Caenorhabditis elegans: one gene and its partner. The protein of the gene in region 1 purifies or fractionates together with the protein of each later gene. This does not show direct contact. Each region holds a gene or a part of one and is shown in the gene's direction. Other genes may lie near its edges.

Evidence for each region. Proteins that work in one complex are often made in the same cells at the same time.
Region 2: the proteins of fos-1 (region 1) and fbxa-215 fractionate together in Caenorhabditis elegans (co-fractionation; one large-scale study listed by BioGRID). This does not show direct contact.

Annotation. Positions count from the first base shown.
Region 1 is NC_003283.11:6,006,655-6,014,608, forward strand, and holds the start of fos-1 (Transcription factor fos-1), read left to right. Parts: upstream 1-1,911; coding exon 1,912-2,169; intron 2,170-4,038; exon of another isoform or gene 4,039-4,093; intron 4,094-4,446; coding exon 4,447-4,516; intron 4,517-4,561; coding exon 4,562-4,698; intron 4,699-6,626; exon of another isoform or gene 6,627-6,749; intron 6,750-6,855; coding exon 6,856-6,969; intron 6,970-7,564; coding exon 7,565-7,954. UniProt on the Caenorhabditis elegans protein: Developmentally regulated transcription factor which binds and recognizes the enhancer DNA sequence 5'-TGA[CG]TCA-3'.
Region 2 is NC_003282.8:13,664,833-13,668,822, reverse strand, and holds fbxa-215 (F-box domain-containing protein), read left to right. Parts: upstream 1-1,913; 5' UTR 1,914-1,926; coding exon 1,927-2,000; intron 2,001-2,043; coding exon 2,044-2,253; intron 2,254-2,311; coding exon 2,312-2,395; intron 2,396-2,439; coding exon 2,440-3,076; intron 3,077-3,132; coding exon 3,133-3,333; 3' UTR 3,334-3,459; downstream 3,460-3,990.

The DNA of each region.
Region 1 (7,954 bases):
TCACGTCATTCAAGAAAAAGGGAAAAGGTGGAAAAAGTGCATTTTCTGCGTCTATTGTGATTGGAGTACTATCTAGGGCACGATCGGGAAGAAACAAGGGAGTAGAAGGAAATTGAAAAGATTTGGGAAAAAAGAAGTGTGAAACTGTTGTACTGTACAAACAGAACATTTTGAATTTTAAACATCAGAAGCTGGAAAAGTTTCAGAGATTTGGTAGTCTTTTTATTGGAGCTTGGAAGTTAACATTTCATGATTTACTGGCCAAAACGTCCCCTGATTTAAAATATTTCGAGTAAATTGATGAATTATTGAAAATCTTTTTGGAGATATTTGTAGCTCGGTTTTGAACTTGTAAATATTTTTAAAAAATTTCCGTAACGGGTAGTCATATTGAAAATATGATAAAATGTTTTGGAAGCTGAGCTTTTTTGAGATCGCATCAATATAAGTTCCTGGCTCTGGTAAATCTATTGAGCTCGGTGTCAGTCTAATCAAGATCGATGTCAGCAGAAGCTGGCTGTACAGCCCTTGATTGGACTGAGTTTCAGAAAGCTCAAATGTTGTTTTCAAAATGCAACCTAGCTTCAGATCATAACGAAAGTATAGCATGTTTCATAGAAATTGGAAATACTTTCTTGAAACAAGTAAATGATTATTTTGCACCCAATGTTTGATGACTACCTCATGTCTTTCATTAGTATGGCATGCAATTTCAAAATTTAAATTATAATATTTCCTCTATTTGTCCTCTACTACTCTACTGCGCCATTTTAAAAAAGTAACAGCTCGGTCCATTGTGAAGATATTAGTGAATAAGTAAATTCAAGCGACAGACAAATAATTTTTGAAAAATGTTGTCAGTTGGCAATTTCTCAATAGAACAAATGACAACTGATATAAGCTGTAAACGTTTAGATTTTATTTTATTTGAGCTAGGCCCCTCTCATCCAAAAAGGTTATTAAAAGTTTATTGCCTGTTAAATTTATAGACTTAGACATCCATCCAAATATTTAAATGTTGCTGTTGCTTTTGGGTCAACAAACGACACATACCTGTTAGTGTCATCCTTCGTTCCGCGTGCACGCATCGCACTGAATCATCGGTATTCATCACCTCTTCTCTGCAATCAACGAGCCAAATGCCAATTGGGTTATTTGAGTTAGAAACTCGGGAAGCTTCACAGAAGAAATAATTAGCTGAATTGGCAAAGAGAGCACCTGCTCCCCGGAATGTCATACTTTTGTAGAATAAAAGAAGGGAAGACGACGACGTCTCCGGTTCTTCTATCCCAAACAATACCATTTTTTGTTTCCCATCTCGTCTTCGATGTTGCTGACTCACCATCAATATCTAAACAGAAAGCACCCAATGGTTCGCCTTTTTTGTCTCCTTTCTCGACAGTTTCTGTTTTTTTTTGTATGTTACATAAATACCGTACACCCACCATCTAGTCAATTGTCACATATTCGAAATCAAAAGTTATCAAAAACTCTCGTGCACTTTAATACACAGTTCCGTCGGCCACCCCGTCACCAGCCGGCGTTTTCTTGGTGATATCATTGGCGGTGGCTCTTTGAAAATTCAAATTTGGTGTCGTCCTCCCGAAGGTGTGGGCGGAGCTTGCGCACCGTTCGCGGTGGCCGTTGCTCTCGACAGTTTTCTCTTTCCCTCGCTCCTTTCTTCTCTCAACCAAACACCTGCCCACACACGCAACTTACTTTTGTCATCGCTGGTCCCCTGTCCAAAGATACAATCAACCCGTGTTGTGCTAATCATCACCTAGAAGAGTCATCTTCGTGAATCAGAATCCCTTTTCTTCCCCCTACTTTTTCCACTTCTATTCCCGGTTACTCACCTTCTGTGTTTGGCCCCGATCGTGTGTCAGCACCTCTGCTATATAAGAGAGTGGAATGTTCGAACAACCATCGTCGACGACTAACACCACCACGAGCTCTGGTTCTGGCTCCGATTCCAATCACTACTTCGAATTGGGTCCCAGGAACCCGATCAACCAAGCGCACCCGACATCAGTCATTGTTCCACCGCGACAACATCACCATCAGATCCACCAACAACAAACCGACAACTCACCTCTAACTCCGTGTACACCATATTATCCATCAAATGCATATGGACTCCCTTTATTCTTTGGAACTGATTTCCTGCAGGTATGATACATCACAAATATCTTCCTTAATTCAGTGTTTACTTCAAAGTCCACTATTCCCTTGCTAATAATCACGAGTTTTGATAGAGCTTTTAAATCATTACTTTCACTCATTTTTCACTCAACCTCGAGCCTTACATTTGTCAGTTGATCTCTTCTTTCCCATATAAAAATGAGATTATAGTAGCTTACTTTCATTTAGTTTAATATTAATTCTGAAAGTATCAAACCAAAAAGTAAAGCGTTCACTAATTCTTTTGTGCAAAAGTCATGCAGAAAAAAGTTACCTAGCTCTTGAATCTTTTCCCTCAAAAATGTTCTTACCAGCCATCTCCCCCGGATTTTAGTTCCGGAAAAATAAAACTATTTGGTTATGGATTAAATGTATATGGATAGGTGGTGCACGAGGAATCTTAAAAGAAGATGCCGACGTGTTTACACACTTCTACAGTAATCTATCTATCTTTCACCTTTCCCCCAATTGTTACTTTTGTGATCTTCTTTACCTCTCATGCACTCGCTAATCCGTTTTGGATTGTTTCCTGTTTGCACCTGTTGAAAAAAGATAAGTAATACTTATATGTTAACTTTTTTCGGTGCCAGTGAAAATATTACAGGCACGCAAATTTTTTAAATATTCAAAAAATATCTGTCACTTCTGCTTTGAGCTTGGGACCTACGAATAAAAAGAGATCACGTGTTTTAGCGTTCCTTCTTTGCGCTGACAACTTTTTACCAGTTTTCTTAGAATTATTGTCGCTGAAGACCAGACTTACAAAAATAATTTTTGAGCTTTATTTGTAAATAAAACAAACTTTAACAAAAAATGTAATAAACTGGCAAATGTGAACTCAGAACAATTATATTCACAGGTATTCTATTTCATTTTGAACATGTAGGTGTGAAACAGTATTCTTTTCAGTTCTAAATCAGTTTAACCCACTGAGAATTTTGACAAATGACGGTGAAAAAGGAAGAGTTGATAAAAAAATGATAAGACAATTGAAACCTTTTAATTATCAATTTCCAACACTTACTGAAAGAAAAACTATTTCTAGCGAACGCACCAATGTAGAATACCCATCTTTCTGCTTTGTTGGTTTTTGATAGGCTTTGATAAGTAGATTTTAAATTACCGTATATCTTCTATTAATATGGCCTCCCTATTAGACTTGCACTCCCTATTAGTATTGCCCCTCGGAGACCTTCCGAAAATTAGTATTGCACTCCCTATTAGTCTTGCACTCTCTAATAGTCTTGCGTTAACTTTTTTGTATTGCAAACCCGTCTCGCTAATTTCAGGATTTCAACAACATTTTTTGCCTATTTGGCAACAGTTTTCACATCATTTCTACGAGATTGAAGTTTTTGAACTTATATGAAAATCAAATTTTCTGAATTTTTACATATGATTCGAGCTTTTTCAGGAAAAAACTAGTAAGCTCAAAGTCAGAAAATGTTCTGAAAATTAGTATTGCACTCCATAATAGTCTTGCACTCCCTATTAGTATTGCAAGCGGGAAGGAATCGAAAAATAGTATTGCAGCCATATTAATAGAAGAAATACGGTATTAAATTATCAAAATTTACGAAAATATTTGAAACATATTTCATCAGTTGGAACAATACAGATATAATTCGCTGAAATAGAGCAAAAAGTGAAACAACTTTTTTATATTCTGAGTTTTACATAAATGTTTTCTTTTAATTTTTGCTTGATGTAGGTCATCAGGACAACGAATTCTGGTTATTACGGTTCATTTTATCACTCTACGTCTTTTGAAAATTTTTGCTTATACTGCTATCTAATTGCCAAAAAAAAGATTATAGTTTTTGAAGTGTCTTGAGTCGTAAACCATCTCTCTTTCTTCACAGTCCGCCTTTAGTCCTATAGTCAATCGTCAAACAAATACCGTATTTCCTCCTAGAATGGGCGGGGCGTTCTTTCCCCCTTCACCTATACACACACTTCATCATCTTCATCATCACTGCCGTTCCACTATTTTCTTGATTTGCTTATCAATATCATAATACTCATTGCTCACTCACCTCTAGAACTGCAAGTGTCACGTCATTACATAATGACTCATCAGGACGTATCATGGATGTTTGGGGCGAACCCATATGACGATAGTTACAATTTTAATTATGGATATGAGGAGGATGTAAGAGTTTAGAAGTTGAAATTAATTAAATTGAATTAAATAGGTAGAATAAAAAATTGTGGAAGGAAGATATATAGATATGCCAAATATTCGTGCTATAAAACTAATTTCAGTTCCAACCATCTGATATCCCATCTCCGCTCACACCGAACATCAGCTCGCCACTTACGCCACATCCATTTGGTAAGCAAGAGATATAATTAAGGTCCACGAGCATGGAAACTTCAGGTCCGATCCCAGCAATCCCGACTAATCAAATCTACAATCGAACATTCACCGATTTCTACTCGACGGCAGCTTCATCGCCTATGGTACAGTATAGCACGGTGAAGAAATCGTCGGCTGGGAGAAAACCTAAAGAAGAGGTGGGCAAGTTATCTACAAGTTATGGGTTACTTAGTTATGGGTTAGTTAAGTTACTTACTAAAAATTTGAATTATTGTTTAAAACCGAGTTGCTGCTATTCTAGAATATCCACTACTACACTTTAGCAATTTGCCGTATTTTTCCTACTAGGCTTGCCCCCTCGTTTTACCTTGACAGAGCATATCCCAGTTCTCTTTGGTTTTATCAAAACTTTGTCAACTCACAAAAAACGTGCAAAATATTTTTTTATATTATGATAGTAAAACATATTCAATAAAGCTTATGACAGCCGCGATATGAGCCGTCAAAGTATAGCAAAAAAGATTGTTACGTATTTTTCTCTAGTTTTTAAAACATGATTTACAATAATAGTTCAAAAATACGTCGAGATATATGAGCCAAGAAAGTTTTTTGAAAAATTTGAATAATTGGATTTCAAATTAAAAAAGAAAAGATAAGCTCCGAAACATTCAAAATACAATATTCTAGCATTGACATTTTTTACAATTAAGCGATTTGCGTCAACTTGAAAATTAAAATGCCAACTTGAAAGTTCTTCATGCTTATTTTAAGTAACAAAGTTTAGCTCGCCGTATTCACTCAATAATTTATTTTTGATAGACAGCCATTATAAAGTTTAAATGACAAAACTCACTTTTTGAATGTGGTATATGCCGGCATGACAAGCATGATTTTTGAATATTTCAAAACTTCAGTGGGGCATTTTTGTAAGTATAGCCAGAAATAAATATAAACGAACGTATTGGGCGAATAGCTGCTTTCTATTACAAAAATATAAGAGTTTGCGATTAGAAACTTGAGACACAGTAGACAAAAACAAGTAGGCAGGTATGAGAACTAGGCAGTGGGTGGAGATTCGAGTGTGTATGTTCATGGCAACACCTTCAACTCCTCTCAAATGACTCACAGTTTTCATTTTTCGTTTTTGACTCATACACTGTCCCATAGAACGCTCTCAAATTTCGTCATCATTGCAAGCCAAAGCTAGTCATTCGAATCTGACTCATTTTCACTGAAACCTCTCTCTGCTACTCTAGTCTATTTTTTTTTTCAATTCTTGTTTCCAAACATTTCGGTGTTTCTTCAAACCGTTGAGATGACGTGGCAGTATCACAATAAAACTGCGATCTATATGGTAAGATTGATGGAGCTTTGAAGGTTGATACGACCTTGCTTATGTATTTTTGTGATGGTTTCATGAACATGCAAAAGAAGCATCTAGAATTAACAGTGGCATTGCGAAATTAGTCACCACTAACGTACTGATAACAATTAAGTATGACGCGGAAAAAATAGAAGTACTGTAGATTAACGTTTATGGACGAGGGAAGTTACTATGGCGGGTAGGTCAAAGCAATTATATATTGAAAGGGGTTTGTACCATTTCAAGTTAGATTTCCCTGATATCCTTAACCTGGATAATACGGTCATTTTTGGTTTACCAAAAAGTCTTTGAATTTTGAAAAATTTCGAAAAAAAGAATGTAAGCCAAATAGGAAAATTACGGTATTCAGTGGAATTTACCCATAATTTACATTAGGTTTGCCGACATTGAAAAGTTACTGATAAATCTAAATTTCAAAATTACAGTAGACTTTGATTTTTTAGTTTAATTTTGCTCTAAGTTACTTGGTTACTTTTCTAACTTTCTGAGCTTGGCAACTTTTTCTTGTCTGTTACGCTTACCTAGAAATACATTTATGAAAAAAACATTTAGTTGAATTAGTTTTGCTGAACAAAAATTCCAACCCGAGCCTTCAAAACTGATAAAGTTAAAATTTGCAGTAGTCAAACTTTGGGCACTACTCATAATATATTTACAAATTGAATGCTCTTGCCCTTCTTTCGTCCATTTCTTTTTTCATTTTTAGATAGACGCCCTTTCCTGCCCACCAGGTACACTATGCAAAGTAAATATATTAGTCATCACGCAATATTGTATCTACATCCCTCGCTCTTTCGTACACCCTACCTTCCCAGTCTTCACCTAAAAGCTTAGAGAGACACCCACCCCAAGCAGAGGGGAAAATGAGCCACTTGACAAGAAATATAACGAAATGGATAATCTTTTGAGTAATCAGAGAAAATATTAACAAATCCTCAAAATACGGAAACTTAGAGTCAATGATTTTCAGGATAATATGGAGGATGACGATGATGATAAGAGGCTGAAACGTCGTCAAAGGAATAAAGAAGCTGCTGCAAGATGTCGGCAAAGGAGAATTGATTTGATGAAGGAATTGCAAGATGTAATAGTTTTATTCAAAAATAATTACATTCACCAAATAAAAAATTAGGATATTTTAATTGCAGTGGGGTATCTACCTTTAGTGAACACTTAAATTTTGAAGCAATTTTCAGTTAAGCATAACTCAAAAACTATACAGCTTCTCTAAATACTTTCAACAAGCAAAATGTTGATGATAACTTTGGCTACATTTTTGCCGTTGGAAAATTGTTAGCAATCTCACCCTGGAAAAAGTTATAGCAGCTGACAACTTGCTGGCCCAGTTTTGACTATTTCTATTGGAATCTTCTTAACTCAATAACAGAACGTTTTCATAGAAAACAAAATTTAAAATTGATTGCAATGTTCTAGATTCAGAAATGCCGGTAAAAAATTCAAAATTTTAAATATTTCAGAAAACAGTTTTGGGCCTAGTTCCAAGAATTTAGTAGTTTTTATAATTAACTTTCAAACATTTTTTAACTTATAAATTCACTATGATTTGCAATATATTTCAGTTTCATTTTGAAAAAAAACCACACTTATAGGTTTTTTTAGACTTCAAAATAGGAAGTTTCAACATTGTATTAAAGATAAATTTCACGATCTATTTTCAGCAAGTAAATGACTTCAAAAATAGCAACGACAAAAAAATGGCGGAATGCAACAACATCCGAAATAAGCTCAACAGTCTCAAAAACTATTTGGAAACGCATGATTGTAAACTGAGTCGCGAAGAACGAACACATGAGATAAATCGATTGATAATCCCACCATCAACAGTTCCACCATCACAACCATATCTTCAACATTCGTTGAGAGTTCATCCACCACGTGCTGACTCTGTACCATATTCTATTCGATCAGGACATTCATCTTCATCGTCTGAACAACACTCACCAGTTGAGGACTATAAGCCTTCAATTGATCAATTACTTCTTCCTCCAATCTCATGTATTCAAAATATCAAAGATCGAAATATCAATTCTATGCCACCACCAGCTTTA
Region 2 (3,990 bases), on another chromosome or scaffold:
TTTCTGGGTTTTCTTCCAACACATTGTCATTATCAGGCTTTCGAAAAAATTCTACAGAGCTATACTTTTTTTTTATTTACTTAAAAACTTTCTTTAACTGGAGAAGTCTGAAGAATTAATTACTAAGTTCTTTGAACATTGCTGTAGCAAAACAAAGAAAAAGTCCTACAGGGGTTCTAGAACATTCCAGAATTTTCCCCAATTTTTCAGTTCTTGAAACTTCCAGAAGGTACTAAAACAAAAATAGTTTCACAGAAAACTTGAATTTCCCTCAAAACAATGTTCTCATAAATTTTGAATTTCCCGCCCAAATTTTTAAGGGTCTCACCACAATGGGTCTCAGGTCTCACCACAATGGGTCTCAGCAAGGTCTCACCACAACAATTCCAGAATTTTCACGAATTTTTCAGAAGGTTCTAGAAAATTCAAGAATTTTTTTTCGAATTTTCCAGAAGGTTCTAGAACATTCCAGAATTTTCTCGAATATTCCAGAAGGTTCTAGAACATTCCAGAATTTTCTCGAATATTCCAGAAGGTTCTAGAACATTCCAGAATTTTCTCGAATATTCCAGAAGGTTCTAGAACATTCCAGAATTTTCTCGAATTTTTTAGAAGCTTCTAGAACATTCCAGAATTTTCTCGAATTTTTCAGGGGCTTCTAGAACATTCCAGAATTTTTTCGAATTTTCCAGAAGGTTCTAGAACATTCCAGAATTTTCTCGAACTTTCCAGAAGGTTCTAGAACATTCCAGAATTTTCTCGAATTTTTCAAAAGGTTCTAGAGCTTTCCAGAATTTTCCAGAAGGTTCTGGAACATTCCAAAATTTTCCCGAAGTTTCCAATTTCCCTTCCAAAGACGGATAGTCAATTTTTCCCAAACTACAATAATCCTACAGTACTCCTACAGTACCTCTCCAGTACTACTACAGCACCCCGACCATATCCCACTACTAACCCCAAACCTATATCTCTTCAAAAGACAAAAGCTCAATTTTTCCTAAACTACAGTAATCCTACAGTACTCCTACAGTACCTCTACAGTACTACTACAGTACCCCGGCCATATCCCACTACTAACCCCAAACTAATATCCCTCCAACAGCCGAAAACGCCTTGCCTTTGTAAGCTATGACGTCACAGACTACAAACTACGGCACAAACGGAATTATTTTTTTTATATATAGGTTTTATATATAGGATTTTTAATACGAGCATTTGGCTTCCCAAGCTTTCATAATCGCGACGAGGCCTAATTGTTGATTTATCGGGGTATGTTTTCTCATCAAATTCTTTGTACCGCGCATGTATGAAACATTTGAACAGGTGTGTCCTTGTGATCTTCATGGGATGTAATTTCGGTAGTGGTTTGATCCAAAAGCTCAATTCAAAATGGAAACCATGGAAATGAATATTTTAACGCTAACAATTTAACTCTGAGATGCACTTTTTCAGAACAACAGCACACTTTAAAAGTTATGCGATCGATTGAAAAATTGATTAAAATTGATTAATCAATTTAATTGGTGATTTTAAAACTTCGAGTACTGTAGCCAAAAGTGGTTGCGTACTTGACACATTTGACGCGCAAATGCACAGAGACTCCATTTTGGGATTTTCAGATCGTTTTTTTTAAAGTTTACTCGTTTCTCTTCGTTTTTTGTTCGTCAATTTATTTTTTTGTATAAGAAAAATATAAAAATACTAGTTTTAAGTAATTATATGGAAAAATCCCAAAAAATGGATTTTTCAGACTTGAAATTTGTTCAAAAAATTGACCTACCAAACAAACAAACATAAAAAACATTTAGCGCTAAATATTCAATTTTCGTTGAGAATTCTTTGTTTTCCATGTTCACATTCACTTCTTCCAAATTTTCCTCGCGTTTTCCATTAATAAAATTATATTTTTACAGATAAAATCTTAAAATGAGCGAAGCTCCTCACTCTTCCAGCATGGCGGATAGCAATTCCACAGTAGAACAATATCGTTCGTTGAAACGGTGAGTAATTGAAAATTAGATTCTAAAAATCATGATTTTCCAGGAAAATGATCGAGAAAAAGGATCTGATGAGAAACAATCGAACAGCACTTCGCGCATGTATCCTGTTCAATTGTCTCCTCGGAACTTCAATACGAGACGCTTATAATCAATTTTGCCGAGCCGTTGGATCCGATGTTATGGAATATCGAGAATACGAGTTCTGGTTCTATCAATTTAAAAGAGGAGATGCTGATTTCAGCGATGCAATTAGGTATTTTCAGAGACTTCAAAGAAATCAATAATTTCATTTTTAAAAAATTGATTTTCAGTTGGAATCCAAACACAATAAAGCTTGATGAATTGCCAATCGAAGTGATTAATACGATTTCCAGCTTCTCTATGCCAATGGAGAGGTTTGTTAGCCAGTTTTATTCAAATTTAAAATGAAAATTTTCAGACTAACGCTTCGAAAAGTGTCTAAAAACCTGCGCACACTCATCGATTCTGAGCCGTTTTGTTTCCAAAGGATTATAGTACGAATTGGACATCGAACATCGTATCTTCAATTGGACGGTTATCCGGGAATTGAATATATTCATTGTGGTGCCGATTGCAATGTTTTATATGGAAAACGTGATAAATATGTTAAAAACAAGAATCACGTTGAATATGCTCTGACGGAAGCCATTCAATTGATGAGAAATTCAAATAATCACAGCAAAGAGTTCCACGTGAGAGCAGAACGATCAAACGATCAGGAATTGTCAATGGTTCTCAGGAAATTTTTCGATTCTGTGGAAATTGAGCTTTATGCGAAGAAAATTGTCGTCAGTGGATTCAGTTTTGCCGATACATCTTCGGTTCTTTGCCATTTCAAAGCGGGATTTCTCGAGGAAATTCAGGTGTTACCGGGTTCCGGTGGCCCGTGGACCAACGTACTCGTCGAAATGGAACAATACAAGAAGGCAAAAGTATTGAAGATTTGCACGGAATTTCCAGTTTTACTGGATATCGAGGATTTGCTGCATTTCCGACGGTTCGAAATTGCGATAAAATCAGATTTCACTGAAAGAATGGCCAGAAAAATTCGCGATGTAAGTTTCCATTTTAATTTTCGTAAGTTTTAAATTTAATTTAATTTATTTTCCAGGTTCTCACCAATTCTGAACATTTCGAATATGCCCACATAATAACTCAAGATCTTCACCATCGGACAGTCATTAAATTCTTCAATCGAAATGCTGAAAATGTATTCTGGAATTATGGATCCATGAATTATAATAACAAGAAGCGCCTCTTCCACATTGAGTACAATCACCGACAATTTGTAATCAAAAAATTAAACATGTAGATAATCAAACAAAAATTGCCTTCTTCTCGAAAATGTATGTACTGATATTTGATTTGCACACTTACCCCTTGTTTTACTCTTTTTACTCTGAGATTTTTCTTGCAATAAACCTTTGTTCAGGTTAAAAATAAAGCACATTATCACGAAAAAAAAACTGTCAAAGAATAACTGAATTCACAAAAAAGTTTCGGTTCTTGCAAATTTTCAAATTCAGTTTTAAATTGTTCCATTGTCATACACTTTAGCAGACCTGCTCATATTTAACATTATACAGAAAATGGAGATAAATTGGAAATAAAAAATATTGATTCATCATTTCTGATGAACGGAAGAAGTCGGGTTTATTGCCTCTTGGGTTATACAGTCCTGCTCCCCGAAAAATTTACTGTTTCACCCAGCTAGCAAAAACACTGAAGAATTCTCGAGTGACTGTTTTGTCATTTAATTTGAACTAAACATCAGCTCCAATGACCTTCTCTGAAATATTTTTGTCTCTAAAAACCTGAAAATATATGCAGAAACAAAAAAAACTAAAATTGTCGAATTTTAAGTTTTTTATAAAAACCCCAAAAATGGCAGTACATTTCAAAATTCGGCTCTTGTCTTGTATAGCCCTGCTCTCGAAAAAATTTACTGTTTCACTCAGCTAGGAAAAGT